Caenorhabditis elegans: one gene and its partner. The protein of the gene in region 2 interacts with the protein of the main gene of each other region in a pairwise test. Each region holds a gene or a part of one and is shown on either strand. Other genes may lie near its edges. The genes, in order: mut-16 and nucl-1.

Region 1 (16,013 bases), on a different chromosome or scaffold from region 2:
AGAAGGCCACAAAAGGTGGGAGAAAGGAGGCACTAAATGCCGAGTAGTTATGTTCGGTAATTTCAGAATTTGACTATGATTTAAATCAAAATTTCCGAAAATTCGCATGCGCTCTTGGTCTATGCAGCTAATTTTTAAATGCAACTCTTGAAAATGTAAAACGAGAATTCAAAATTAAAATTTCTAGGTTCATCGTGATGGAACAGTAACTGGACTACCGACGACCGGTCAAGCATGCCAACAAAATGGAAGTGGTGATGGAGTGACACCTTATGATAAAATTGCTAATGATTCAGTGGTGAGTTTTTGAATTTGAGTTTTATGAGTAAAAATAATGATGGTTCAGCGGTGTTCATTTTCAAATTCATAGTTTTTCAGAAAATTTCTATCCAGTAAATCAACTTTTTTGGTGTCAAAACATGTTTTAGCTTTAAAATGATTAATATCCATTGGCGGCTTAAATTTCAGTTCTACAATCTTAAATGTGTTGGCATATTTTTTGGTTTTCAAACTGCATAGCCCTGATCAGAGTGTATATTTATTAATTGAATGGGAAAACGCGGATCGTTCTGTTCGCTTTTTCAAAACATTTTCAACATTTTAACTCGATCATAAGGTCCCTGGAACATTTACCTCGTCAACAATGGAATTTGAAATGGCTTTTCTGCTCGATTTGAACTCTTACTCTTCGACCTTTGTTCACATTCTCGAGCCCTTCTTCCTCTCACTCCAACGCATTTTTTTCTGCAAAATATCTCTTTTCGAAAACATTTTCTCCTCTCATTCAGGTGTGCTTTGCCCCACTCATAACAGTTTTGTTTCATCTTTAACTCGATGGAAGGGAAAAGTGAGATAAAAAGAAGAAGTGCAGAAAGGAAGAAAAGGTGTAATACCTTCTTCTTCTTCTTATCCTCATTCCTTTCTTCTTTCCGGAGCACACATATTTTTTATCGAGGGGAAGTCACCGGTTCAACTTGCGGCTCAATTTTGAGGGCAGCTACGACCTCATTCAGTTTTTGACAAGTGTTTCGTGTTTGTTCAACATTTGAAAGTTTTCTGGCATTTCGCTGATTGTGTTCCTGATTAAAATGTGTACTCCCCAAGGAGAAGTGTGATTTTTTTCATAAAATAATTGCTAATTACCCACATAATTATTGTCTGAAATTCTTGGTCAGTTTTGCTACTTTTCAAATAATCGAAAATCAAAACTGAAAATCCTCTAGAAACAATTATCCTCGAGGAGTACACGAACTGCGCGTATTCAAGGTAATATATGGTAACTACGACAACGAATGATTATATTTTCCCAACAAAAATCCACTCTTCAACTCGATTTCCTCTTTTTAAAAATGTTCCTCGTCTATTTTCTGATAATTGTTAATTATGAAATGTTTATTAGAAATAAGTATGCGGGAACCACAACATGTGAAAAGGAAACAATTAATGTTCCAAGATGAGTTTGATTATCGGCTCAATTATCGAGAATTAATTGAATGGAAACCTGGAAGAACTCCTTCTGCACTAGAAATTATCGAATTGGGATTACTTCACTGTAAAAAGGTTTATTTTTTCAGTAGATTAAAATATATAATAACACCGCTGAACCATTATTTCCGAAATTTAGCAGAACATTTTCAATTTAGTTTTTTATAAAGTTTTTGCAGGGAACAATAAACGAGAAGCCACTTCTTCCACCATTATTACCACAAGATTCGAATAAAAAATGTCTGGTGATCGATCTTGATGAGACATTAGTGCATTCTTCGTTCAAGGTGAGGTGTCGCTTCTTCAGAAAAATTGAAAATTCCCAAAAACAAAAATTGATTTTTCGAAAAAAAAAAGCTTCAATTTTTGGCTATTTTCGTTCTATCCAGAAGAAAATAAAATTAGTTTTTCTCATAAAAATAAATAAAAATTTGATTACAAAAAAATTGAATTTTTGTTAATTTTTTGAACATTTTTTTCCGCTTATTTGGAAAATTGAAAAATCGAACAATTTTCGTTTTTCTCTGAAAAAAAGAAAAATCGGTATTTTAGTGGCACTTCTTGCTATAAAAATTTGAACTCATATAAATTCTTAAAAAAACAACAAAATGGAATGTGTTGACGTAGAGCTCAGCTCATGAGAGCAGTTGTTCAGTACTCTTTGAATTTTTCAAATTTTCAGCCCGTGAAGAATCCGGATTTTGTGATTCCCGTCGAAATTGATGGTGTCGAGCATCAAGTATATGTACTGAAACGACCGTACGTCGACGAGTTTCTTGCGAAAGTTGGAGAACATTTTGAGTGTATTCTATTTACTGCGTCACTTGCTAAGGTATGGTTTTAGTTAATTTTAGTTTTCATTTTTAAAGGTACAGTAGGGGTGGCGATAGGTCGCAACATGGCGCCCTATCGCCACCCCTAAGGTACAGTAATCCTAAATACGCATGTGGCACAATAAAAATCGATTGTCATTTTTGAACACTTATAAACATATTTTTACTTTAAAATTAAAAAAAAAACGGTTTATATCTAACTCAATTCCAATTTTCTCGTTTTTGCCATCAGAAACTTTAAAATTACGTAAAACTGTCAATTTTCAGACTTTTCTTACAAAATTTTCTTACTACGGTAGTCGATCGATTTTTTTTCAATGAAAAAATTCTGAAACTCAAATATTAATTTTCAGTACGCTGATCCTGTGGCTGATTTATTGGACAAGAAACGGGTATTCAGAGGACGACTTTTCCGTGAAGCGTGTGTATTCCATAAGGGTAATTATGTAAAAGGTAATGGTTTTTAGTTTTTTGGAAAATTTTCGATTTTTCTTTATTTTTTCGGGGAAAAGTCTATTTTTCATGATTTTCTAAAAACAAAAAATGAAAATAAAATCGAAGAAAAATCCGATTTTTCTGTATTTTTCCAGAGAAAATCGAATATCTCAGATTCCTTCATATTTTTTTCCGAGATTTTTGGAGAAATTGATTATCGAAAAATGAAAAACTTGCACTTTTCTTCATATTTTCCGGAGAAAATCGAAAAATATTGTATTAATATTTTCTATTTTTAAAAATTGCAGAGCGTATTTTTTGTTGAAAAATTAATATTTTACAAATTTCTTTTTAAACCCCCATTTTGTAGATTTGAGTCGACTGGGAAGAAATCTGAATCAAACTTTGATTATCGACAATTCACCAGCCAGTTATGCATTCCATCCTGAAAATGCGGTAAGGATACTGTAGTTTTTCATTTTTCCAATTTTTTTCCACGATAACTTCAACTATAATTCAAAATTTTATTTTATTTCAGGTACCAGTGACGACGTGGTTTGATGATCCTTCAGATACAGAGCTTTTGGATATTCTTCCATCTTTGGAGCACTTAAACGGGGTTTGGATTTAATTTTTTTTTTGAAAACTATTTATTGGCCAAAATTTTCTATGAGAATTAATTGGGCAAGTTTTTGTTAAGAAAAAGTGACTGAATACTGAATATACTGGAAATTCAAAATTATTTTGAAAAACTCTTTCAAAATCGCCTAATTTAAAAGTAAAAATAACATTTTTCAGTTCTCAAGCATCTATGATCTGTATCGACCAGAAGAAGGACCACAATCCGAGCTTCTGAATCACTGCTCTTGCTAATTAATACGTCATATCATAAATTCACAAAGTAGCTGTTTTCTTGTTCGAGACGTCGTCGTAGCTCAAATCACAAAAGTACTATAATTGCCTTTTCCCAAATAAAAATCCAAATCTTTCCGAAATAAATTCGAATGAAAATACATATCCACTCAGGATTCCCCACTCTCTTCCCATTTTCTCTCAGATTTCTAATTGGATTTTTTCTGTCCCACTTGCCCTTCTTTGTTTTCCTTTTTTACCAGTTAAATTCTCCACAGTCCCCCCCCCCCCCCCCCCCATCGCATCATCATCATTCTCATCCGAATTGTGATCTTTTAATATCAAATTATTGCCCCTTATTAGTGTTTCCAAAAAAGAAAAATTTTAGTTTCAAAACCGTCGTAGTGTGTATCCTTTTTTGGACAACATTTTTCTCCAAAATAGTTTCACCAAAATTTGCAAAATTTGTCATTTTGTGTTTTCTTGTATTTTTCCCCTACGTAGTTGCACTTTGTCATTCGTTTTAGTATAATTATGCTGTAAATACGAGCTATTTTCTCTTTTTGAATCTAATATTTCTGAAATTCCAAAGAAAAGGAAAACAGTAATTAGATTCAAAAAGTTGCCAATTCTGAAGCAATCACCCCCAAATACTGAAAACGTGCATCCCTCATCCTCCATCCAGTGCCTTCGTTCCAATTTTCAACCCGAGTTTTCCCTTCATCCCTTTCCCAGAGACACGTATCCCTGTTTTGAATTGTCACCGTCACCACCAATATTCGTGCAGTATTATTATTATCAGTTGACTCCCGGTTCTTCTACTTTTTATAAATATTAAAACACAAATTTGGACTCGTAAAAATATTAATTAGGAAAGTTTGGCGATTCAAGTATGAAAAAACAGGTAATAATCAGTAGGCAGTCAATAAGAACGAAAATTAAAAAAAAAAAACATGGGTTTAGAAAAAATGAAAAAATTGAGACGAGTGGGTGAATACAAATAAAAATGGAACAGTAATAGGAACAAGTAAATTCTTAGTTTCGGATATCATCTTTCAAAACGACATACGGCTCAATGTCACCTCTTTCCACTATAGCAACCGATGAAGAATCTCTAATATATTGGACAATATCAATGTACCGAGGAATAGCAGGACGTCTGCTCACTTCTGTTCTCAGTTCTTGTACCTGAAAATAATTCACTTTTAACGAAAACCTTTTCATTAAAAAAACTTAACATAAAATTGGTACAGTTACTCTAATCAAGAAGTCTTTTTGAAAGAAAAAACATGGCATTTTTCGAAGTAAAAAGCTTGTTTTAATTATACGAAAATATAGTGTAGAGATGATTTGAAAATACTCTTTATTTTTAAAGATTTTTTTCGTATGTGTCAATCAAATTTTCTCGTAATACTTTTTATATAATTACTAATATCACATCGTAGAACAAATTGAAACTTTCAACGAAAATTACTACTTACTGTCAATACTGTCAAGTTCATGCTTCGATAACGGAGAATTATATCTCTCAATTCCTTCTCAATTCCATCTTGAAATATTAATTCCCTGTTCGATGGCTGACGATTCGAAGAGAGAACACTAAAAGATCTTTGAGCTTCCGGTTGATGGTTTGATTGTCCTCCGTTTTTATTAAAGTACGGCGCAGAATTTCCGTTAAAATTGTCATATCCTTGTGGTTGTGACTGATGAGGCATATGACTTCCGTGATGGTCAAATTGATGTGGATTTTGACTGTATCCGACTGTCATTCGATCTCTTTCATAATCAGCAAGTTTGAAGTTTCCGTGTGGATCGTATTCTGGAGGATTTGGTGGAAACTGATCAGGTGATCTTCTTCTTTGTGATGAATGATCTTCATGATAAACTGATCTACTGCCATAATGATTGAATTGTGGATTACATCCATAATTTGGATCGGAAGAAGTCGGACCCTGATTCGGATTGTACGAATTTTGATATCCATTTTGATTGATATGAGGTTGATTGCTCATATGTGATGGTTGTTGGCCAACGTGATTATAAGCAGGTTGTGGCACTTGAGAATAATTAAATGGAGAAGGACCATGTTGAGGGTTGTTCTGAATTGAATTGTATGGTGGATACTGTGGTGCCGGTTGTTGATAGATTGGTTGCTGCTGATTAACTGGCGGATACTGTTGGCCGTGCATCGGTTGGTGGATTGGCCTGAAAAATGTTAGTTTTGTGAATTTTTCTGTTTTTTTTTCTCAATTTTAGCAAAAAAGGATATGTCTTTTGCTTGCATGAAAACCCCAAGACTACAATTATTACGCGAATTGTTTTACATTACTTTTAAAGATGGTCAAATAATATCAAATTTCTTGAAAATATTGTCAAATTTATGAATTTATTAACCGAAAAAGAGTTTTTTTATTTCGGAAATTTTTGCGAAATCTTATCAAAAAATTCGATTTGGGTCCATTTGAGCGTTCTTTATTTAACTTTTGGAATGAATTTTTAAGTATAATCCTTACTGTTGATGATGTATTGGTTGAGGCGCATATTGATGTGGTTGAGGTTGTTGTACAGGAAGCTGTGGCTGATATGTTGGCTGTTGAGGGATATATGGTGCACCCGGATGAGAGTTTTGATACTGAAAAGATAATGATTATGACTTCAAACTTGTAGGATTTGAGAAAAAAACGAACATGGTTAAAGAAATATGGTTCAAATACCCAACGCATCACTTCGAAAAGTTTCTGACTGTGTTGGACAATAAATTAATGGAAAAGATCTTCAGTCTTTTAAAAGAATGTCCCAATTCTTGTTCACGTGAACAATACTGTTTTCTTTCAGTTTTTCTGTTAATTTTTTCTGTCTTCCAGAGAACTCAATAAATTATAATTTCACATTTCTCTCAACTTTATCCGAACTGTGAAGCAAAACTATTTCGAAAACAGCAAAAATAGATCGAAAATGTAATCATGTGAACAATTTTTCGCAAATTTTCAAATATTTGTTGTAGATACACAGTCAAAGTTCTCAAGACTACGGTCATTAAAATTGGATCACTATGAAATTTCAGTGGTACAGAAATGCACGGAGGCATTAGATTTTTCTAACAATTTTTTCTAACGTAAGTGTGGATAGAATGTTTAGACTTAAAATATTATTAAAAATGAAATTACCACAGCTGTTTGCATTGGTTGATTGGCTGGTTGACTTTGGTTGACTGGTGGTGGTGCTGGATGTGATGGCAGTCTGCAATAATTTTTTTGGTAATTGAAAGATTAAATTTTAAAGCTAGGAACCTTCTGTTGATGAAACCATTGGCTGAAGGTCGTTCTTTCAAAAGCGGATTCCGTACAGGCTCTGAAACTGATTTTAGGCTATTAAGACGAGTCCTAAACTGCTTAAAATACCTTTTGGCGCAACTTTAATCGGTTTGTGCGTATCCGCTGGTGTGAAAGGAAGTTGAACATTGCGTCTATCCTCGTCGTGATTCGATTTAGAGTAGAAATTTCCGACTTCTCTGAGTGGAGCTGGATTCTCAGGTGGAACGACGACTTCAGGACGTGTCGAAACAGGGATTGACGGTGCTGCGGTCGTAGAAGACGATTCTACTACTGGAGTCGGGAGAGCTACATTCACAGTGTCAACTGGAGGTGTATTGGAAGTGTCAGTAGCAGATGATTCTGATTTTTTCTTGTACGTATTGAATCGAGTCTCAACTGAAATAGATTTTCATAAATTTAATAGTTCAAATTGGTGATTTTGGAAAATTTTTGTAAGGCGGAATATCGTTGGTGTTTGAAAGTTCAAAAATTTAAAATAGTCTCAAGTTCAGAAATACCACAATAGAAAAATGAAAAAAAACGAAGCATCATCCCCATTCACTAAACTCCGCTTTGGAAATGATAAAATTCGTACTTTTCGAAGGAGGTTGCTGCTTAGACTTCGTGTGCTTCTCACGACTTCTTAGTTCTCTTTCCTGTTTCTTTTTAAGTTTATCCTTTCTTCTTTGACGCTTAATCTCCTTTTGCTCGGGATCTTCATCAGAGTAGGATCCTTCAGAAGTGATTTCACTATCTGATGTCGTATCACCGACATCTTGAACACGCTCACCACGATCTCCATATGAAGGACCACGGTTACCATTGGTGATTGTGCTTCTGCTAAGAGCTGGTGCTCCACCAAATGGATTCGGAATCGCGGATCGTTGAGGGGCTCCGGACGAAGTGCCTTGGCCCATTAGTGGATCTGTTTCCATCACACGATTGACTGGAGAAGTGGGTGCACGTGGAGGACGAGATGTTGACCGATCAGTATTTCGATTAAAGTGCGATGAAGTTGTTGGTTGCTGAAAATCACATAAATTTCATTTCTATATTGCACACAAAGAATTTTGTGAATAATGAATGTTTTTTTTATCGCACTCACCAACGATCCATCATCATCTGCATTGTTAGAAATGCCCCCAGCAAAAGTCGATGGTTGATAATTCGGATCTGGTACAATTACATTTCTGCGTTGTTGTGGACCACGACGATCATCTAGAAAAGAAAGATTTTTAGATAATCACAAAAAATGCAATGTACCTGATCTCTGTCCACCGGCCCTATAATTGCCTTGGCTTCCGTAGTTCTGATTTCTCTGATTGCCGGTTTTCCATTTGTTCCTAACATCCGCAATATGTTCATCAGTGAAAAGAACAACTGGTCCTGAATGAACAAACGTTGAAAATAAATCGAAAATATTTTTAGTTACTCACGGTTTCCTTCATCGTCAGCTCTAAAATAGAGTTCTACAGTTTTGCCGTTGGCTTGTGAAACCACAATTTCAGAAAATCTTGCAGTTGTTAGAAACTTCTTCAGTGTTCCTCGATTTGTATACTCTTTGAACCAATCATTATTCCACAGTTTTTCTGGATCGAGTTGAAGAATATCCTTATATTTTCGAAAAATATTCGCATGTGCCGCACCAGTAACCATATTTGTATAAGCAGTTGAAAGAATTTGATATTTAACTGAACGAATGCTATATTCATTTCTGACAGCCATTAACAATTCCGCAATCATGTTGAATGTGAGTAGAGTACGAATTTCCTTCTCTTCGGATTCAAATGTATCTGCTTCCTTTTTCTTCCTTTCCTGGCGTTTGTGCCTGCAAATTTTATACGCCATTTCGAGGAAACACCACCGATCGAAGAGACTGTGTTTTTTTTGTGGTGATTTGGCAAGGAGAGCTCAGAAATATTTAACTTATATATTTTTTTTTTTTGTACTGAAATATTTTCTTAATTTCTCTCGTGAATCGGCACAATAGTCATTCGATTAAAAAAAATGGAATTTGAGCAATTTCGCTATTGATTTTGAAAAAATATGTTCAAAACAAGAATAAAATAATTCAAATTCGATTATTCCATGAACATAGGGAATTATATCGATTTACGAGAGCAATTATGACGGGGTTTCAGTGCAAAAAACAAATTAATTGCTGTTTTTAACAATAATTCACATAAAAATTTCCACAAAAAAAGCCTGTAATAGCGTCTCTCTGATCGCCGGTGCCTTATTTCGAGTCGTTCAGAGCTTTTCGTGACAAAAAAAACGCACTGTTCTTCGGATCCATTCATCAACGAAACAACAGTCTCACGTTCTGAATCGGAAATGACTGGAAAGAATGCGCCCTCTTTGGACTGCAGCCAACCTCCTCGTACAAGTGCATGGGCGTGTTCGGTCTGAAAACAATTAAGTTATAGTCTCCCTATGCACATTGTAATTTACCTTGGAATCGTTTGGAAGCTGAGAAATAATTTCTGGAGGAAGCAATAAAACAGCTGTTACTTGAAGACTGTATCCCATACAAGATTTCAAACAATCATCCAATTCATCCGAGGAGTATCCAGAACGGAATTTCAATGGATTGCTCAGCAATGAAGAGCTCAGGAACAGCTGAAGATCACGCTAAACCATTAGGTCACGAGATCATATAAGTATTTAAATACCTTCATGATTTCTGGATTACTTGCATCGCTGAAATCATAATCGGCGTTATCATTTCTTCCGATGACGTTTTGTATAAGATTGTCCGGTATCGTTTCTGGTGGAGGTTCATCCATATTGTCATTCTGAATCAGAAAATAAAATTGAAATATACGAACACGAATCTTACCGCATAGTAGGCATCCACGTCAAAGTCATCGTCTCCTGAATCCAAATAACTATCGTAGTCATGTTCACCCGATGAATTTCCATAGCTATTAGTGTCATCTTCAGTTCGATTTTGCATGGGAGTTTCTTCACGATCAGTTTCCGTATACGAGGCGGGTGGTGGACCAACAACGATCCCCAATGGATCGATATATTGATCGGAGATGTCTAATTCCGGATAATCATCATCACTTTCGGACATTTTCTGCAAATATCGAGTATTTGAGTGGGTTGAAACGTTTGAACGGCAATAAATGAGAAGTAAACGATAATTTGCTAGAGGCATTAAAGAAAACTTTCTATTCCAGGAAGTATTACGATTCTGGGACAAACAAGCGAAATTTGTAATAAGGTCTCTCAATAATATATATAATAGCTAAAACTTCAAGTCGTGCACTGTTGCGTTAATTCATTTCATTTTGAGCCGATAAGTCTGCAATAAACAATAATCATAGATTATAAAGATTTTTAACAGTTAATATTTTGTTTTGTTTTTGAATTCGGAAGCTTGTTCTTCAATTTCCAGTGCTTGAGATTTAAATGAAATTCGATCTGGAAGGCAATTTTGAAACAAACTGATTGGAAAACTGTTTAAATGGTTTTTTCAATTGAAATAATGATAAAAAATGTTAAGGAGCAATAAAACGCGTTCTAAATATTCGATCGGCAAGCAGATGATTGACGGTTATTCATTGAAACGTCGATAGAGCGCGATTGCATTGCGTTCAGGAAAAGTTGAATTTCTATCGAAAACAAGTATTAGAATTGAAGAAAACGTTTTGAAACTAAAAAATCATCTAAATCGGCATGTTTTTTAAACTAATGAACAGTCGCTTCATTAAAACATAACAGAAATTTGTTTGTATACGATAAACTGGCTTTTAAAATTGAAAAATATATATATAAAATCAAATTCACCGGCACATTTTCTCAAACCGATCGACAAAAAAGTACTTTAATTTTCCGAAAGAACTATTATGAAAGTGTATCGGTAAATAGTTTATTTTTAGGCCACAAAAGGATCAATTAACATGTTAATTAACACCTTCTGTTTCGAATTTTATCGCTTTTTAGTAATTTTTTGAATAGCTAAACAATAATTACTTTGAAAACGAAAAGAAATAACGAATATGGTGAAGTAAATCGCAGTTTTAAAAGTTGAAAAGGAGAAAATACATTTTTCAAATACAACTCAAACAAAGCGGCGCTTCTACTACGGTCACACTCATTTCACGTGTATGATTTCAAATTAAATCGTATGTAGTTTTAAAATTTGGTTAAGATTTCAGATTTAAATATTTGAAAGCTTTAATAAAAAATTATTGAAGACCATATATAATTTTTGAAGGCTATAAACCTTAATTTTTAACGAAAATATTAGAAAAAAGTTTCAAAGCATTAAAATTAATTTCGCGTCGGGACCAGACGCGCACTCACCACAATGTTCCTTAATCAAAATTAGTTTCTGTATCGGCGGGAAAATTGAAAATTCATTTTGAGCATCGCATAATCTCACTCACCATATACATTCAACGACTAATCGAGTGAATAAATCGATCGGAAAGGACATTTACAAGTTTATCTGAGCGAATTATGACCGAAAATCCTATGGAAAGTGCATTAAAAAAACTTTTTCCAGTGAAATATAAACAAAAATTAGCTGAAAAATACATATAAGAAACTAGTTGAAAAAAGGTTGGTACCATTGATCCTTGGCCCCAAGATACACCCCATTTTGTCTACTGGATCCTTTGTCACTTTGGACACTTTGTCTCCAAAGAACCTACGTCACCCAAAAGTTTGCAATCTAGGAATGAACAGTGAAATTTTAAAGCATTTTTATTTCAAAATGATTGGAATTTGTATCAGGGATTTGTGAGCGAACAGCTTAGAACTGATTCCACGTCGAAAAAACCGATCAGTCATGCAATGTTAACAGTATTTTATTTTTTATTCTAACAATACAATCTGTGACTATGTTGAGATCGTCCAATAACAGTTGAGCAGAGGTTTCTTCTTATCCAGAAGAAAGCTTCTAACTTGCTATCGGCAAATCGCTTCATAGCACATTCACAGACTTTGCGAAGATTTTCAATCTCCCCCATTCGTACATTCATCGTATATTCTTGTAATTTCCTAGTTAAAGACGAAGTAAGAGAATTAGCGTTAAATGTACGAAGCGGATCTGGCGCCGTCGGGGTATTATAGTCGTATTTTAGGGTTGCGGCTGGTTAGCTATAAAAATTACCCAAATACGAAATCCAAAAATTTGTAAACATCGAAAAATAATATTCAGATACAAAATGGAAGAACTCGATTGTACAGATGGATATGATATTGAGAGAAATGATGGACAACTTGCAACCTTGGTATTCATCGAATTTTGTGTCGAACTCGTCATTTGGAAAAGTGATAATTTACATTAAATTTTTATGAGATATCTCAGTATATGAAATTTGGTTTTTTCGGGAAAGTTTCAATACATTTGAGTGTAACAACCACAAATTCTACTCCTCCGTTAATTACCTCCTCTTATTGCATGTTTGGGTCTTTTTTGTTTTTTTTTTCATTCATGTTTTTTTTGTGACAGACAAATAAAATATGCAAAGGAAATCTGTTTCGAATCGTTTTATTAGACACTTGAAGCTTATTACACCCCTGTTGAGAACACGGAAAGAAACATAGGAAGTCGACGGCAGAAAAACACAGAAAAAGGAAAAAGAACATCTGGAAGTGATTTAATAAGCGGAAAGCATAAGATGTGCAGAATGACGGCAAGATGGAAGCAAATCAATGAAATGTGGAGACCAGTAAATTCTCTGATAACGGCGATCCTCGTGACGAGAATAATCTTCACGACGAAGGAATGGAGCAACATAGTCAAGACCAAGTGCACGACCATTCCAGTAGAGAAATTGATTCTGATGACTGAAATAACAGGTTAGCAAGGAAAGCAAATTGCCTAGACGAACCGAAGAGTATCTGTTGGAACTGTGAATGTGCGACGTGTCAGTGGAGGCAAACTGATATCCGATGCGCTTTTTGTGTAAATTAAATTACGAGCACCACGAACTCTATAAAAATGACAAGTTTGGTTTCCAGTTGGTTCTAAAACACCAAAAGTTTTACCTATATTTCTTGTCTTTTTCAAGAAGCCATTCGGATTGTCGTGGATTGTAAGCCTTGTGTGGTGCCAGGTCATACTCGATGGCACGGTTTCTGAAAACATTTCAACAAATTCAGGTGTCTGAAAGTTATTACCGTATTTCCTCTATTAGTTTTATTTGCAAGACTAATTTTCAATTGACCCGTAAGGGTGCAAGACTACTCGGCAATTCCCGACAGCTTCTTCCCCAAGTTTGGGCCTTTTCAGCTTCTTACCCAACTCTTGCCAACTTCTAACCCAGAGTATGCCCAAGTCTTACCCAACTTCAACAATTCTAGTGTAAACTCCCTCGCCCGAGTTCTGCCCAAGTCTTAGCCAAGTTTTGCCAACTTCTTACCCAAGTTTGCAGATGTAAAGAACGAACAAGATTCCGAAATCCCGCATGCGCAATGTTTAGCGTAAATCGACACTTTGTCTTTTGATTAATTTGTATTTAAAATAGAGGAATTTCAATGTAATTGAAAGAATTCACAGGAAAACTTGTCCCTTCAAAGGCAAATTCTAAATATTTTTCTCTGGTGGCTAACATTGTTTAAAAAAATGTACGAACAAAGTCTGATTTTTATTGCCATTTTGTCTAATAAACCATATAATTTTTCTAAAAATAAAAAGAAAAGTTATCTTCAGGATGATTCTTCTCCTAGTCAGTCCAATAGTCAAATAATAGTCAGTCAATCCTATGCATCAAATTTTGAATTTTTCTAAGACTGAACTGTTCTTTTGAAATGTAAACTTTTATAAAATTGAGAGACATGAAACAAACATGAATTACAGTAATTCTGTAAATTCTGAACTTAGAATCATTAGGTATTGAAAACAAACTTGAAAACAAATGAAATAAGGTATGTGAGAATACCGTATCAATCAGATATGTCTGGTACTTCCTCAAAAATATCTATCAGAATATGAGTACGATATATAATTACTAGTGTGGATCTTTTCGCGCGACCATCATGGCTCAGCAGGTAAGACTTCGGCACAACGGGAAATGAGATCAAAGTTCAACACACAGGTATAAATTGGGTAAGAAATAGGCAAAACTTGGGTAAGACTTGGGTAAGACTTGGGCGACGCCTCGGGACGACGAGGCAGTCGACGACTTTTTTCATTTTTGAGACGGCGTCCAACTCTTGCCCAAGGTTTACCCAAGTCTTGGCAGCTCCTTATAAATGTTTTTATTTTTTGGGCAAGCCTTGGGTAAGAAGTTGCGAAGCCTTGGGTAGGAAGCTGGCGGCAAACGCCGAGTAATATAACTTTCGCACGAGTTTACTCAATCTAAAACTGATAAAAAATGAGAGAGAACTTTAATACGGAAAGAGTACACATGTATCACCAAATAAAAACTAACGTTTTGTTAATACACAAGCTTGGAGCAATTGAAGTATAATTGTGTCGTTCGCGGAATGATCCGAGATAAGGAGAATACATTTCATCGTATTTCGAGTGACGAGCAAAATTCATCGTGTTAGTGGCGTCTTCAAAGCTGAAATATTTTCGGACTTTTCAGCTGATGACTGTAAGTCAATTAGCAATTTTATTTTTTGAGAGAGACATTCTTGGCGTTTTTGGCGTTTTGGCGTTTCTACGTTGTAGAAAACCGTTTCATTTGTTTCGTGAAATTTTGGGTCCACGCTGTGCTAGAGACGAAGTTGGTCTCGTTGCGGTTGCGAACAGCAGTATCATCTCCAACAAACAAATTGATACAATAAATCAACGTAATACTTTGAAATTTGCTGAGAATTCAAAGAGTGAAACATGACAATTTGATTATCTTACAATTAATTTTAAAAAGCTTCAGGATAGGTTGCATGTTGAAAACTCACGCAGTGGAAACAATATCAATATACGTGTTTGATGGGCTTCCGGCCACAAATCCCTTGTAAGGAGCTGATGTCCATTTTGAGTCGGATGCAACTTGAGCTTTCACCTGAACACATCGATTTTTAGGATTTAGCTAAGGTTTTGGCTCTGGATTAGGCTTAGACTCGATCTTTAGCTTTAGTCTAGGCGTTGACATATATAAATACTTCTTATAGTTGATTTTATTTTTTGCAGAAAACCGTTCGAAATTTTTAAAAAATAAAAGTTCCTCAATAATTTATATTTTTCACTGACACCCCTAGGAACTAGATAATGTCAAAATAATAACATTTTCGAAGATGAAAACTCACGCGATCGAAGGCGCCCATGTTGTTGTTGTCTCGATGGAAAAGAAGAAGAGACTGAAGTAAAGAGTTTGAGCAAGAAGAGAAAAACTAGGCGGAGTTTTGAGAGAGAGAAGACAACAAACAGCTGATGTCAGATGGGGGCGGAAGATCAGAAGAATCGAGATTTTGAGGGCAACCGAGAGATGTGTTAGACAGGTTGAGAAGAGAAGTAGTCAGTGATTAATGAAAACCACTTGGAGGATCAGTGGAGAGATATGTTGCCACAGGAGTTTTGGCAGATTTCGAGATGATCGTGAGAACACGAGGAGACAAAAGCACACAAAAAAGAAACACAAAAATATATTCTGAAGCCAAAACTTCGATAGAAACTGCAATACTTTCTGCGATAACTTGAAAAATATAAGGAAAAATGCCAGAAAACAAATTACTGTATTTCTTATATTAAACATGGTAATTGAGTTAATTCACGGAGGATAGTTGTAGGTGCAAGTGCAAATATCTTATGAAATATGTTCACATAAAAATTAGGAAAAAGAAAAAATTATGACATTTCGAATTGGAAAAATAAAGCCGTGAAGATTCTACGTTAGATAAGAAAAGAAAAAACAATCACAAACTTGTCGATAAATTCAGTTTCGAATTTACGAAGGACGACTTCTTCCCTTTTCATCTTCAGACACGTGACACATTGACTGGTGAGTTTTAAATTTCAGATGATTGCTTTTGAAGTAGTAGAGTGGGGTTGCTAGCCTCTTCGGCCACTGAAGTTGCACATCTAGAAAGATTCACTCTCAACTTTTTCTGCATTTGGGAGAAAACTTTCTACCAAATGTTTTCAACTTTCCAACTTGAGGGGATTTTAATAAAACTCAAAATTGTTGGC
Region 2 (16,013 bases):
CTATAATAAATATATCTGCTCCTGCGTGTACTATTGTAGAACGTTATAAAAATTAAATTAATGAAATTTGTGTAAAAATCATCTTCATACATGATAGCTTGAACATAATTTCAATTCTCTAATTTAATTATTTTTGTTTAAAAATGTTGTACCCATTGATTTCAGTCATAAATTGTAAGTAAAACTGAGAAGAGCTAGTCCATGCAGAAACCCAAAAATGCCAAGACATGGGAGGCGCCTATTAATGAAACTTGGAAGATTTAACTGTTGAATAAACAATGAAGTCACCCATAGATATCGTGCTGTTTTTCATTAAATTTTACTTAATTTACTTTTATATTCTCACTAGAATGACTGAGCACAACTAATTGAAACAAAAATCTCACTTAAGCAGTAGTTCAGCATGGATCTCATCGATGTTCCAAATTGTCAGGAAAAATTGGTTGAAAACATTATATACTTGGTCAAAGAGTACGAAATGAGTGTTTTCCCACAGTTTTTAGTCCGGAAACATGCGGAAGTATTTAAGTATTAACTATTTCATCGAATTCTCACAGGCTATATTAGATGAGAAACTTGAATACAGAGATCATAGTTTTTAAATTGTACATAGAATTTATTATTTGATTTTCTGAATATCATTAAACATCATATTCATAGAAAATTGTCAAATCTGAGAACATTGTTTAATTAACTAGATACTGTGTATTTCGGCTAGTCGGTTTGTGCGATGAGCTCCACATATGACATGTTGGGGGCTCAGAGGTTCATTTATGTGAGAAACCTACTGCATCGGCTACCACTTCCAAAATTTGAGAAGGTCGGAGAACAGCTTTTGTGGTGGGAGGATTAGAGATCATGAATAGTATAAAGATTCAACTTTAAGGCTATTGTCTCAATGAGCTCAGAAAACGAATAGAGTGAAGGGGCGGCTCACGCCCTGTTCTTGCCCGGAAAACGTCTCTACAACTCTTATAATGGTAAAATTACTACATTTCATAGTAAACCTTCTACGAAATATTTTATAAACAGTCAAAAAGTGGCAACTTCCAGGGATATGCCTGTCTATCATTTTGGAAATCGACTTGAGAAGTTTTATTTTAGAATTATTCTGTGTTGATTATGTTTCTATTATTTTCACATTGTAGGGACTTTGTCTGAAAATTTTTGGACTTTTCAATTACACTCCCGTCACCGTAGAGTAAGACCTAGAAACGCGAGATTAAACGTGGAAAAATTATGATAAAATAACCGAGAATAGAATTGTAAAAAGAGGACAAGTTCAAAAAAAGATAAAAGACTAAAAAGTTGGAAGTCCACGCACGAGAATCGCGTAATCCACCCTCACAGCGACAACGACTCCCGAAGGAACATTCAAAAAGAAGTTGCATTTCAAATTTATGGCATTTTATATAAGGAAGTGCAGATAAATGACGCAGTTTTGCAAAAGGAAAAAAACAAAAAATGGGTGTAAGACGAGTACAGATATAAATAGAAACATGGTTTCATGCGTTCTTTTTGTTTTGACTAATTAAGCTAAAATAACTGAAAATGTCTGGTAGAAATATAAACCTTTAGGTCAGAATATTGTGTTTTTGTCACTTTGGCGGGAACGCTGGTTCTACGTTTTAAATTAATTTGTTGAAGTAGGCAGGCGTGCACTTGTGTGCCTACATGAAACAGTTACTTATCTCATTTTATCTATAGATTTTATCAAGTTAAAAAAGGAGAGCTGGAATGGAAAAAATATCATAAAAAATAATAAGCTAGAGTTATTTCAAATTCGTTCAACTTCCTGTTTCAATTTCTATAAATCGAAACAATTTCAATTTCATTTTGCACTACGAAATGCTATTTGCGTCACTCTTTGCTCACCAAAATTCAATCTAATGACCATTGTTATCGTCACACAATTTGTTTAGATTTTCAGCAAAAAAAGAAGAACGAGAAAACCAAAACGCCAAACAACCGGGAATCAGTTGTAGTACTCGGCTTCATAAACAATGAATTTTCGCGTTTCTGCTATAGATTTCTAGAGGAAAAACGAGTCGTGACATTGTTTAAAACAAGTGAAAAATGCTGAAAGATGAGCTCTCGGAGCAACTTGTTGAGTGGTTTGAAACGGATAGGAAATGGGAGACAAAAGGGAATCAGTAGTTGAAGGACACTAGAAATTATGATAGAAAAAAGCTGTCAGTTTAGTTAGATCAAAGAGCTTTCTTTGATTGATTGATCGGAACATCAGAGTTCGAAAATTGAAAGACAAAGTATTCCTCGAGAATTACGAAGTGAAGTACTATGTGAAGATGGACATAGATTAGTGTTCGTAAAGAATTGGGAATCGAACCAAGTATTTTTAAGATAGAGTATATTGGTATTCGGAGGGTGTAATAATGAAAGAGTTGTTGCTATTTAGGTCTCAATTTATACGGTTTATTTATTAAAATTTTAGATATTTAAAATGCTACAGTTGTAATATTGAGACAACCTCAGTATGAGAAGTGCAATTTCTTTTTTTGGAAAATTTCTACGAATTTATTTCGTTTTTATTAATTATAGTATTTAATCATTGTGAATAGAAAAAACTCAAACCATTTAATGTTTGTAACAATCTCAAATGAACCACCTGAGAATGCTTTCTACTAGATGACAATGGCCAAAAATAAATAATTTTTTCCAACTCGTCACAGCCACTCAACCAAACGTTTTTTTTATCCAAGAAGAGAAGAACAAGGGACAGTTGTCCGCCGTGTCTCGTTTCAAACAAAAAATGTACGTGAAAAGTGAATGAGAGCTTCTCCGTCCATTCTGTCTTGTTTTCTCATTGGCTCATAGTCTTTGTCGTCGTCACATCAAACATATCATATTATTTCTCGTGGTGAAGAGTGGGTGATCTTTTTTGGGTTTAAAGACTGTCTTTTAAAAAAGACGGTAATGAAAATTATTTAAAAAGTTACAAGCATTGAATAAATATGTCCAGTCGCTAGTAGATTGGAAAGTCTGCTTTCTCCGGGAAATGTGATGTATTTATAAATATATATAGATACATTCGAAAATTCTCACGCTCTTCTAGGAAAATAGCTTTTCCCTAGGATTCTTGGTCACCTATAATAATTAACGCGTTCTCACCATTTCGGCTCTATTTTCGCGGATCTTCCTAAAGCGGGTGTAAAAAGGCTTAAGAGTATCCAAAAACAGTGGGTTTTATTCCATTTCACAATGGGAACATGGAAACAAAGATAATGATGAGCACCGGGAAGGGGGAGAATATAGGTAAAACTTATAGTATAAAACATGGAAAACAAGGCGAAGTGGTGAACAAGGGGGGACATAGTGAAGATTAGTTATGATCAATTCTCGAGCAAGATGGTCGGTATGTACCGTTCATGATTGCAAGCTCGACGAGTTGTCTACGCTTCAGCTCATCACGCCCATCTGGAGGAGGAACCAAAAGAACTTGGACTGTTTCCAGAGCTGCAGTGATCCGAGCAGTTGCCTCACGACGTGGTCCGCTTGTCTCGACAATGACGCGAAGTGGCAAATCAATTGCACTGAAAGAAAAAATGGGTTGGGCTAAACGGATTAAATGGGGCGTGAATACATTGAAGAAAATAAAATGATGTATTTGAAATCAAAATGTCACGTAATATCTATCAAAATTTTGATGATTTTTAGTATAACTCACTCTTGGCTTCCATCTCCATGAGTTTTGTGCAATGCATTTCCGTACATCTTATTCGAATGATTTCCGCGGATCATGATTCGGCATCCGGTATCTTTCTCAAGCTGCTTCGCTGTCGTTCCACGAGGACCAATGATGCGGCCAATAAAATTGTAAGTGGGGTAAGTCTCGACTGGAATCCTAATACTTTCAGTCAAAGTGACCTCATCTTCATCCGAATGCATCGAATCATCAGAATCAGAGAACATAGCGCCAAGATCAGTAAACCGAAGTGCTTCTCGTCCACATTCTTCAAGAATTCCAATGTCAGCCATTGAGATTGGAGCCATGAAGAGTCGGCCGATCTCTTAAAATCATAAAAACATTAGATCTATAAAATTGGAATTCATACCTTCATCGATGAGATGCACTGAGAAGTTAGCCTGACCATATTGGAGAAGACGGGACTTTTCAGCTAGGAGCAGCTTGAAATAAGAGATCACTACATCCATTTGGTCGGATTCCTCATGAATTTGGATCGATTTAGGATCTCTTTCATAGTCGGATAGCTGCAAAAAAACAGATAACTGAAAAATATATAAAGGTGTGAACTAACAATTTGCATGAATTTCTGCTGGAGAGGGGTGAGAAAGCAATTATGGTTGTTCATGGTGAAACATGAACAAGACTGAACAATTTCAGCCACGGAGCTCCGTGCCAACGTGGCATCATGGGGATGACGTGGAGGTCACGCGTATATTCAGACGTGATTAAAATTAATCAGAGTAAGGTCAGAGACGTGGCAACTGCATCTTCTTTCTTTTATCATCCTTCAACATTACATTCAGTGCTTTACAGGATAAGTGAACGTGTTCCTAAAAATTGAAAATAACTCTGACCAAAATTCAAAACAGATGACAAAATGATTACACGATTGAATATATTTTCAATGACTTTATTTTTGATAGTGTCGAGCACATCAAATACACCGAGCACACTTACTCAAATAACCTAAATGAAAGGGATTTGTGAAGAGGCAGGGGAAAACAATGAAAAACGTTTTGGGACAACAATTGGGATTGATAATTTGTGCAAGAGAAACAATAAAACCAACAACAATGAAAAATATTTAAAAAAAATGGGATTTAACAAGGAGCGAACAGATGGATCAACAAGATGGAATAAATCTAGAAGAGATTAGTGGTATGGTAAACAATGGTAAATTTATTTCTTTCCCTTGAAACCGGTCTTCTTGAATTGCGGCTTTTTCTGCTGCACACGTGGAATAGTCTTCGGTTCAACCTTAATTTTTTTTGTAGAAAGTGAAGATAAAGGTTTTAAAATAATCTGGATTAGAAATTACCTTTTTCACGAGCTTCTTTTGTTTTGGTTGTTCTTCTTCAACTTCCTGAATTCCTTCATCACTTGACGCCACCTCTTCGCTGTCATCACCTGACGAATCAGCAGCAACTTTCGGAACAATTTTTTTTTGAACCGCTGGAGTAGCTGCCTTCTTTGGTTTCACGTCAACCTTCGTCTCTTGATGTCTCGCATAGAACACATCGACTAGATGATTGTTAACCTTCAATCCATTTGATTTTGCGAATGCAGCTTGAGCGTCTTCTACGGTTCCAAAAGTGATGAAAGCTCTCTTTTTCGAGTTTGGCTGACCACTTGCGTGAAGGATCTTAATGTCTGTGGATGAACGGAAGATGTTCTTCAAGTCTGTGTTATTGCAGGTTCCTGGGAGAGCGTTGATGAAGAGCTGGAGAGGATTAATCGGACGAACTCCATCTAAAAAATTATACTTTGCTTGGCTAAGGAATTTTAAAACGTACGTTCTTTTGGAGCTTTGCTTTCACTGAGACAGAAGTCTACATAAAGAGCTTTTCCTTGAATCTTAGATTTGCTAAGAACATCGTGAGCTTTCTTGCAATCTGCGACAGTGTTGAATACAAGCCATCCAAAGTTCGAGTTCTTTTTGCGACGGAAAGAATCGAGTCCAGTTACAAGACCAGTGATTTCAGCATCTTTTGCTTTCTTAGCAATTTCTTTGATGAACAAAGAACGCGAATCTCTATCTTGACGTCTTCTCTCCTCTTCACTGATAATTGATTTACCATCGCTCTTGACTTGTTTAGAAGCGACGGTAGGCTCATCAAGCTTTCTCTTCACACCTCCTTGTTTTTCGGTGACTTTTGGCTTCACAGCTGGGATATCTTCTTCCTCTTCCTCCTCTTCATCTTCTTCCTCTACGTCTTCTTCATCCTCCTCGTCTTCGTCTTCATCACTATCTTGAGCAGCAGAAGCAGCAGCACGATTTGCAGCAATCTGTTTGAGAAGATCAGCTTTCGACTTGATAAGTGGGACATTTGTGGTATCCTCCTCCTCTTCTTCATCTTCCTCGTCCTCCTCTTCTTCTTCATCTTCATCCTCATCGTCACTGTCCTCCTCAATCGCTTGAGCTATTTGACTTAAAGACTGCTTGAGGACTGGAGCTTTCTTAGCTGGAACATCTTCTTCCTCTTCCTCCTCCTCTTCGTCTTCCTCCTCTACTTCTTCATCCTCCTCATCTTCCTCGTCGCTGTCATCATCAAAGTTCAGTTTTGGAACATCACCGGCAGCATTTTTTGATGTTTTGGCAGGATGCGGGGTTGCTGGTGCTTTCTTGTCAACAGTAGTTGGGGTTGCAACCTTAGATAAATTGACTTGCTTTCCTTTTGTGGAGTCGACAGATTTGAGAGAGCTTTTTACAGCTGGAGTTTTAGCGACAGGCTCGGTCTCCTCCTCGTCCTCTTCTTCCTGAAAACAATAATATTAAAGGAAACTCGAAATAAACATTGCAACATTTTCCAAAGAAATTTTCACAAGAAAATCAGCCTTTGAGAAAAAAAAAACATACCTCCTCATCTTCTTCGTCCATTTCAATTTCTTCCTCGTCTTCCTCATCTTCTTCATCTTCCTCAACAGCAACAGACTTTTTGACCTGCGGAGCGTCATCATCAGATTCTTCCTCCTCCTCATCATCGTCCTCTTCGTCATCGTCAGAATCTTCAGCAGCCGTAGCAATGGCACTCTTAGCAGTTTTCTTTGGTGGTTGTGGCTCCTCATCACTCTCCTCCTCATCTTCTTCGTCTTCACCAGAATCGTCTTCTACTGGTTTTGTTTGTTTTGCAAACGGAGTTCCGGTGGCAAGCTTTTTCTTCGGGACTTCTGGAATATTGAATAATTGCAAATAAATCTAAAATCAGCACTATACCCTCTTCCTCGTCGTCATCTCCATCACTATCATACTGTTTTCTCTTATCGCTAAAACCAACTCGGCTGCCTCCCCCACGAGATTGGAAGTTTCCTCTTCCTCCGCGCGGTGAGAAATCGTTTCCACCGCGTCCACGAGGTGTGAAGCCACCACGACCGCCTCCTCTAGGGGAGAACTTATTGCCACCACGGGACCCTCCAGAGAAATCTCCTCGACCGCGATTAGCTACACCACGATCTCCTCCTCGCCATGGAGAGCCACCACGATCACCTCCACGGAAGTTGCCGCGGTCTCCTCCACGCCATGGAGATCCTCCACGATCTCCACCTCGGAATCCACCACGGTCACCACCTCGGAAGCCTCCACCACGTCCTCTTGGGGAGAATCCACCTTCACGATCACCACGGAATCCTCCTGGTGAGCGACCTCTATCTCCTCCTCGGAATCCGCTTGATGAACGTCCTCTATCGCCTCCACGGAATCCGCCTGGAGAACGTCCTCTATCTCCACCTCGGAATCCACCACCGCCACCACGTGGGGTGAAGCCACTGCCACCACCACGACCACCGCGGAAGCCTCCGCCTCCGCGTCCTCTTGGTGAGTCGAAACCCATTTTGATTGTACCTGAAATAAATAAAATAAAGTTAGGAAGTCCTAATTAGAGTTAAATCAGGAAATAACAGCGACCAAATGTGTTGTAATGATATATTTCGATATTTTATGCATTATAGTAATTTTTAAGCAGAAAATTTCTTCAAAAAACGTAGAAAAGCGATTTATTTCAGTGATAAACATGAAAAAGTACACAAAGAGAATGTTTCTAAATTCGAAATTCATCGATAAGCGGGCGCAGGTCTCGCCACGATCTCTCGAATAAATGCATGCGCCTTTAAACGTTAATTTTCTTGCTGGCGGCAGCCGGCTTGCAACGGCTTTCAACAATTCGACAAATCAATAAAAACTGGATTTTCCGTACATTTCTTTTTGTTTGTTATCAAAACCGTTTGAACTGTCAATTATACACTTTTTAGAATTCGTTTTCATCAATTAGAATGTTTGTTCGTATTTATATTGCGTGATATTCTTTTAAAATTGAACAAAATAGTTTAATATAAATATTTTATTTGCAAAACTCTGTCATTTGCGATACATAGTTCTTTCCTAATTGTTTTAGTAAAAACTTAAGTTTCACGTGCCACCTTATCCACGTTTCTATTTCTACGGTGTATTGCCCCTCGGCGAATTCGAGTTATAACTTTTTTACAAGCTCGTATATTGCAAATCCTCCATTAATCTCTATTTTTTTCTCCTTTTGCATTCGCTTCCGAATTTTTTGTGCCGTTTACTCAACTGCTCTATCTTTGCAGCAGGATGAACATTCGTTGTGCTCGCGTGGACGATTTGATGAGCATGCAAAATGCGAATCTTATGTGCCTTCCAGAGAATTATCAAATGAAATACTACTTCTATCACGCTCTTTCTTGGCCGCAGCTCTCTTATATTGCTGAAGATCACAAGGTATTTTTTATTCTCATGCAAATCTTGACTTGAAACATTTATTGTTGTTCAGGGAAATGTTGTTGGATATGTTCTCGCCAAAATGGAAGAAGACCCAGGAGAGGAGCCACATGGTCATATCACCTCTTTGGCCGTCAAAAGATCTTACAGACGTCTGGGATTGGCTAATAAAATGATGGATCAGACCGCAAGAGCCATGGTCGAAACCTACAACGCTAAATACGTATCGCTTCATGTTCGTGTATCAAACCGAGCCGCATTGAATCTATACAAGAACACACTGAAATTCGAAATTGTGGATACAGAGCCAAAGTAAGTATTAATTTGAATAAATCCTCATTTCTCGGCGCGGATTAGTTCGTCCCTCGATGAACAACTGAAAAAATTCTAATCGACGTTTCCCAATCACCCGTTCGATTTCCAACGTTATACTTTTTACAGAAGTGATGGAATTAAATAATTTTGTATTCTTTTTTGGTTCACCTATTTTTAATTTTTGTTCCAAGTCAAGTTCAAATTGAAAAAGGTTATTGTGATTATCAGTGAAAGGACAAAATGTTTCGAAAAATAATTACGTTTAATAACGTGGCGCTTTTTTAAAACAATAAACAAAAATATGCGAGCGAGGTGATTAAACTTTGGCATCAATCAGAAGAAACATACTTCAATTTGCAAATTATGATAACTTTTAGAACCTTATTAACCCTAATTATTAACAAAAATGACAAATTCCAGATATTACGCGGATGGAGAAGATGCATACGCTATGCGTCGCGATCTCGCAAAATGGGCAGAAGAACGGAACATCGAGCCAGCAGATCGAGAGGCCTATACCACTGCAAAAACCACTGACGATAAAAAGAAAAATCGCAGTTAATTCGTTATCAAAGTTTATTTTTGCCTTTTCCAACTGGTTCATTCTGATACTTTCTCTGTTCTCCCCTTTCAGGAGGATCTCTTTTCTTTCAATTCTCGTTTCCTCCTCTGGTTTTAGATTAGGTAAAAATTTAAGTTTTCCCCTGAATAATCTCTTTGATCCCCCTTTGAAAGCTCATTAATAAATTTAAAGCATTAAAATGGTTTGTAGATGTTATAAGCAGTTGATTTCTGTATTCAAATATCTGTAAATATTTATTTCGACCTTTAAAGTTAATGTTTTAGATGAAAGGTGGCGGTGGAATAGGGGATGGCAAAAAGGACTATCAATCAGCTGTTCATGAAGTAAGTTTTTATTAAAAACTCTGTTATTCCTTTTAATAGTTTTGAGTGATTCAGATGAAATATAGATTTTAAATCTAAATTTTTCAGGGATTAACAACATTCGATCAATTGGGAATTGCACTTGAAGATGTCGGTAAATCAATGGACGCAGAAACAGCTACACCAGGAGGAAGTTTATTTTCCAGAGTTATGTAAGTGATTCGGTTATTCTCGAAAAAAAACTCATTGTTGAAAATGTAGCACTATTTTCTAACATTTCAACAAATAAAATTCTGGCTCACTACCGAGTTCGTATTTTCAACATTGAACAGACACATGGAATTGTTTTCAAAAATCATTCGGTCTCACACATTATGGAGGGAGAAACAGTTTAACCTCAACGCAAATCCGATTTGGTCGAATCGTTTCATCGCCTCTCCCTCTGCTCTCATAAAACAAATAGATTGAGAGTGGTGTTACACGAGTTTTCCATACCAAATGAGATCCTTTTTGACAGGTCGGAGAGAGAATTTATTTGTTTTGATAGAGACTCAAAACTAAAAGTTATGATTTTGCCCAGAATGTTATAATATTTCACGACAAGTATAACTTACAAATGAAGAAACGAAAAATGTTCTTCCTGTTTTTTTAATTTCTGAAAATCATTAGAAATTGGTTAGTTATTCTTTTTCGCATCGATTCCAGTTTGAGCTCATGTATTATCATTGTCAAAAGTTTGACGCAATTAAGCGACTATTCATGTTACATTTTTCTGCAATTGAGCTACATTTCGCCAATAATATAAGTTTTTTTTTAAATCTTGTTCATGATATATCAAAGTTAACACAGGTTTTTTTTTCTAATTTCTGACTAGAACGATCTTTGTAGGTACAAATTTCTTCGAAATTCTATAGCCAAAAAGTGATAAGATGATGTCTCAATGATTCTCGACACTTCTAACAAATAAATAACCTGATTCTACATTTTCGAGGTCATTCATACTTTGGTTTCTCATTTTTCTTTCCAGTTGAGTTGAAAGTCGTAGTTTTGATTCCGAACTTAAAATTTTCCTCATTTCTTTTACATTATGTAATTTTTTTTTGCAAAATTATATTCCAAACAGTATATTAATCCGATCCAGTTTTCGTTTCAGGAACGAAAATTCTTCACTAAAATCGAGGACGTACGACCATTCAAACGATCTTGTGAACATGTCGGTGATTCCTGCCGAATCGAGTTATGTACTCTTTTTCCAAGTAAGTTTTTCAGGTATTTTACAAAAGAAATTATGAACTTGCTGTTTTCAGGTTCTCTTTCCGTTTGCCGTCGCTGGTCTTGGAATGGTATTTGCTGGATTGGTTCTCTCAATAGTAGTCACATGGCCTTTGTTCGAAGAAATCCCTGAAATTCTGATTCTAGTTCCAGCACTGCTTGGGCTTAAAGGAAATCTGGAAATGACACTAGCCAGTCGACTCTCAACACTTGTGAGTTTACACTTGAGAATATTCAATTTTATAATTTTCTATCAATTTTTCAGGCTAACCTTGGTCATATGGATTCTTCAAAACAACGAAAAGATGTAGTCATCGCCAACTTGGCACTTGTGCAAGTTCAGGCTACTGTCGTCGCTTTCCTCGCTTCTGCTTTTGCCGCTGCTCTCGCTTTCATTCCTTCTGGGGATTTCGATTGGGCTCATGGTGCATTGATGTGTGCAAGCAGCCTAGCTACAGCATGTAGTGCATCCCTCGTACTATCACTGTTAATGGTGGTTGTCATTGTGACATCTCGAAAATACAACATCAATCCCGATAATGTGGCCACACCAATTGCTGCATCACTTGGAGATCTGACGACACTCACTGTACTGGCTTTCTTCGGATCCGTGTTCCTCAAAGCTCATAATACTGAATCTTGGCTCAATGTTATCGTGATTGTATTATTCCTTCTTCTCCTTCCTTTCTGGATAAAAATTGCCAACGAGAATGAAGGAACACAGGAGACTCTCTACAATGGATGGACACCAGTCATCATGTCAATGCTTATCAGTAGTGCTGGAGGATTTATATTAGAAACCGCAGTCCGAAGATATCATAGCTTGAGTACATACGGTCCAGTATTGAATGGTGTTGGAGGGAATTTGGCTGCTGTTCAAGCCAGCAGACTCTCTACTTATTTCCATAAAGCCGGCACAGTTGGAGTTCTTCCGAATGAATGGACTGTCAGTCGATTTACCAGTGTTCAGCGTGCATTCTTCTCAAAAGAATGGGATTCTCGATCGGCTCGAGTTCTTTTGTTACTCGTTGTTCCTGGTCATATTTGCTTCAATTTCCTTATCCAGTTATTCACTTTGACTTCAAAGAATAATGTGACACCCCATGGACCACTTTTCACCAGTCTTTATATGATTGCGGCAATCATTCAGGTAAGGTTTTATCGAAAATTTAAAATATATAATCAAAATTTCAAAAATTGCAGGTTGTCATACTTCTATTCGTTTGTCAACTTCTCGTCGCTCTTCTTTGGAAATGGAAAATTGACCCAGATAATTCTGTGATTCCATATCTTACAGCTCTTGGAGATCTCCTAGGAACCGGACTCCTATTCATAGTATTCCTCACTACTGACCATTTTGATCCAAAGGAACTCACTTCGTCATAATTTTAAAACGTTCAAACTTTTACCACATTGTATAACTGCATCCCCGTTATTATAGATTGGTTCTCATCCCCCATCTGCATGTAAAACAGTATTTCGCTAACCTAATTTTTCATTTTCACAACTAACGCACTTTCATCAGAACTCTAGTCAAACCCGATGAGTTGATTGATATCCATTTGCCGTCAAGCGCATAATTTTCTGTACATTGTGATCCATTTTTCTCTCTAGCTATTTTTGGTCATATCTAATAGACATTTTGCATTTTCCGCTAGTCACTATGTATTTTTTGGGAATAAATAAGTTAATTTGAACTTTTAAATTTAATTAATTTTTATCTCTGGACATCTTATTCCGCGAGTGGTCCAATAATTTTGACAAGATGGGCCAAGAAAAAAAACAATTTTCCAGATGGAAATAGGACAACGAGTTCGAATAAATTTCGAAGTAGCAACAGTTCGATATATTGGAGAAGTCGATGGATACGGTAGTCAACGATGGGTTGGATTGGAGTGGGATGATCCGACACGTGGAAAACATGATGGAATTGTGAGAGGAAAACGATACTTTCAGACGAGGTTAACAGACATTTTCATCAGAAATATATTCTATAGACATTTCTCATTCGAAACTGTCGGAAATGAATTCCAAATTGGGACAAAAAATGGAAGTGATCTCCGCTGTACACATTTTCATAGTTTTATGGCGGTCTCCATGAACTTTTAAATATACAGTGTCGGGGGATTATTTACCGTATTTAACACTCCAATTACTTTCCCTTAAAAATTCGTCACTAAATAATACAAACTAGTCACAAAAGTGTGAACTTTCAAATTTTCAGACATCCAAATGGAGGATCATTGATGAAGCATGAAATAGTACCGAAACCAACTGATCTATTGTTTGAAATCAAAGACAGATACATCGAGGAAGAGAGCGTCGAAACTGAAATTGAATTGGCGCAATCCAATAAGAAGATCGAGTTGATCGGAATGGATCAAACGGCTGCAAAACAAAGCAATATCGAGAAACTTATAAATATTGTTCTTGATAATCGATCAGTCGGCTTCCCACCTTCCTCGGATTCTCCCCAATTTATACTTTGTCGTGAACTTAATCTTTATGGAAATCTACTGTACAAATGGAAAACAGTTCGTCAGATTCTTGAATATTTTCCTAGAATTCAAGAACTCAACTTACGAAGGAATCGCATGCAATGCTTCAATGAAGAAGAAGATGATGATGAATCAGAAGGAGATGATCATGTTTATTCGGATAGTTGTAAGAAATTGGTCATTAGTGAATGCAATTTATCTGAGAATTCGGTAGGTTAAAGATTAAAGGTTAAAGGAATACCAATGAAATATTAAAAAAAAAGTGTCTAGAATTGCTATTTTTATTTTTCAGATCGACTCGATTCTTCTCCGGTTCCCCTCTACATCAGATGTCGTGGCGTTTGGTAATGATCTCACAAGATTCTCAGTTTCTGAAGCTGTTTCATCTCGTCTTACATCCCTCGATCTCGAAGATAATCCATTCAAAACACTAGATTCCATTCACGGAACTTTTCCGAATTTGACACAACTTTCTGTGGCGAATTGTGGAATTACGAGCTTAAACGGATTCGATGGTTCGATAAAATTCCCGAAACTCGAATATCTGAACATAAAAAGAAATTCAATTGTTGAATGGAAAAGTGTAAATTCCATTAGATCTCTTAAAAGTTTGAAACGGTTATTGTTCGATTGCAAAAAATTATCAACTGAAAAGGGTGTCCATGCCTATGAGATTGTAATTGCCAAGTTGAGCACTTTAATAGGTTGGTTTCAAAAATATTAAAAATTATTTAAAGTAGATGTTTTTTTCTAGATCTCAATAGGTTTGATGTGTCAGAAGTAGAACGAAGGTCTGCAGAAATTCGATTTCTGAACAAATATGCCGGTCTAAATGATAACGAAGATCATCAAGACGATATCAAAAGACTGATTGAAATTCATGGAGAACCGACACTTGATACAGCAAAAAAGGGCCTTGCGGTGGTGAAAATTAGAATTGAATGTGGAAATCGAGTGGAGACACGAAGGCTTCCATTGGGAATGAGCATACAGAAAATTAGAGATATGGTAGGCAAATGAACAATCATTATTATTTGAATCAAGAAGACATGCATGTACTTTTGAAAATGCAAAGAATTTAATTTAAAAATGTATTATCTTGATTCGATTATTTTGGGGACGCAGAAACGCGCTCCACTTCCAATTGAAAACGTAACGAGCAATGGGTCTCGCTAGGTATTTGACAGAAAACTGTAAAATCAAACGTTTCTAGTTTGTTTTGCCGATTTCGCTAATTTTAAAGATTTTTTGTTATGTTTTCCGTTGTTTCCAAAGATTTTTATGCCGAAAGTAATGAAATAAAAATTTGAGACAAAATAGAAAAAATCATTAGCATTTCATTTTTAAACATCTCTTCGACATAAAAATCATTAAAGAATGAAAAACGAACCAAAAAAAGACGAAAAATGTTTAAAAATAGGCGAAATCAGTAAAACTAATTGAAACATTTTAATTTACGGTTTTGTCGCCTAATACCTAACGAGACCCATAGTTTGTGGGCGGAGCATTTAAAATTAACCGTTGAGCGTGTTTTCAGATCAATGTCTAAAGTGTTTTTTTCTGCGTCCCCATATAGAGGCTAGTTTCATCAAAAAATAGAGGCTAAATACTTCCATCAAAAATTTTATTTTTTCCAGCTCGCTCGTCTCTTCAAAGTCCCCAATACATCGAAAATCCGTCTATACCTCGTTATGAGTGAAAAAGCCAAACAACACCGAATTGAACTAGAAAATCCGTTAAGAGAATTTGGACACTATTCACCTTCAGAAGATCGAGATATTCTTGTTGTGGAACATGATTGAATTGTTACCGGAAGATTATTTATTGCACAACTTATTGTTTGTTACAAAATATATGAGCTTTAACTTGCATAAAATTCCTTAATTTCTTATCAGCGAAAATGTCCGTTAAAAATACTATCCGTTATGTATCGATTTCAATACTATTTACAATTATTCCGATTATGGAATAAAATCAATCAGTGAAAATTTCACTTTTGAAAATTTCGTCATATGCATGGGTCTCGCAACTATTGTTGGTTTTTTTTGTACTGTGATCTACTATTGCATACCAGAAAATCTTTTTTGAATTTTTGAAGAATGTCAGCGAAAGAAGTGGATTTCGAGAGAGAAAGTCATCTTCAGTGAGTTTTTAAATTACTGAAAATCAATAGTTATTTGTGATCTTGTTGAATAAAGTTCAATTTATCATAAAAATAATTTTGAATTTTCAGTGCTGTGATGTGTTTTCTCACTGGACAAAGCGGCGAAAAGATTGTATCTATTTATCCACATCGAAAACCAGCTACCAAAGGTAATCTGAACAATATAAAATCTCAAAAAAAAAAACATTTTCAGCTCCATCGAAAGATCCACAACCTTCCAGCTCTAATCCAGGACAATGTGTGAAGCCAGTTCTTACAAGTGTCAAAGAGTTCGTTTAAATCCGAATATTTAAATTTAAATATTCAAACGTTCAAAATTTCAGTCCAAGTTATGGTTTCGGACGTGTGGATACAGAATTCGACATGTCTCTCGGAATGCTTGCTTATGTGTTCAAAACTCAAGAAATTGCGTGTAACGATGGGTTCGATATGAAGATCAAT

Evidence for each region.
Region 1: the proteins of nucl-1 (region 2) and mut-16 interact in a two-hybrid assay, tested with the Caenorhabditis elegans proteins (one study listed by BioGRID).

The regions. Positions count from the first base shown.
Region 1 is NC_003279.8:10,074,147-10,090,159, reverse strand, and holds mut-16 (MUTator), read right to left. Parts: upstream 10,002-16,013; 5' UTR 9,999-10,001; coding exon 9,759-9,998; intron 9,715-9,758; coding exon 9,592-9,714; intron 9,551-9,591; coding exon 9,371-9,550; intron 9,325-9,370; coding exon 9,200-9,324; intron 8,748-9,199; coding exon 8,356-8,747; intron 8,306-8,355; coding exon 8,183-8,305; intron 8,138-8,182; coding exon 8,025-8,137; intron 7,945-8,024; coding exon 7,515-7,944; intron 7,316-7,514; coding exon 7,007-7,315; intron 6,957-7,006; coding exon 6,896-6,956; intron 6,846-6,895; coding exon 6,773-6,845; intron 6,238-6,772; coding exon 6,119-6,237; intron 5,811-6,118; coding exon 5,087-5,810; intron 4,794-5,086; coding exon 4,641-4,793; 3' UTR 4,452-4,640; downstream 1-4,451. Other genes in the region: scpl-1 (CTD small phosphatase-like protein 1), read left to right, coding at 188-298, 1,665-1,772, 2,168-2,317, 2,672-2,771, 3,124-3,209, 3,292-3,372, 3,552-3,626; B0379.1 (uncharacterized protein), read right to left, coding at 12,535-12,724, 12,769-12,870, 12,926-13,015, 14,311-14,445, 14,786-14,889, 15,134-15,151.
Region 2 is NC_003282.8:8,281,986-8,297,998, forward strand, and holds nucl-1 (Nucleolin homolog 1), read right to left. Parts: upstream 7,546-16,013; 5' UTR 7,534-7,545; coding exon 6,921-7,533; intron 6,875-6,920; coding exon 6,564-6,874; intron 6,464-6,563; coding exon 5,500-6,463; intron 5,456-5,499; coding exon 5,025-5,455; intron 4,964-5,024; coding exon 4,886-4,963; 3' UTR 4,602-4,885; downstream 1-4,601. Other genes in the region: K07H8.9 (K Homology domain-containing protein), read right to left, coding at 3,341-3,551, 3,686-4,028, 4,074-4,230, 4,278-4,331; N-alpha-acetyltransferase daf-31, read left to right, coding at 8,292-8,438, 8,491-8,750, 9,174-9,315; K07H8.2 (SLC41A/MgtE integral membrane domain-containing protein), read left to right, coding at 9,600-9,659, 9,747-9,850, 10,780-10,894, 10,946-11,122, 11,176-12,060, 12,114-12,296; tbce-1 (Tubulin-specific chaperone E), read left to right, coding at 12,705-12,871, 13,135-13,618, 13,701-14,112, 14,163-14,416, 15,046-15,210; nprl-3 (GATOR complex protein NPRL3), read left to right, coding at 15,508-15,551, 15,642-15,721, 15,766-15,841, 15,896-16,013. UniProt on the Caenorhabditis elegans protein: Nucleolin is the major nucleolar protein of growing eukaryotic cells. It is found associated with intranucleolar chromatin and pre-ribosomal particles. It induces chromatin decondensation by binding to histone H1.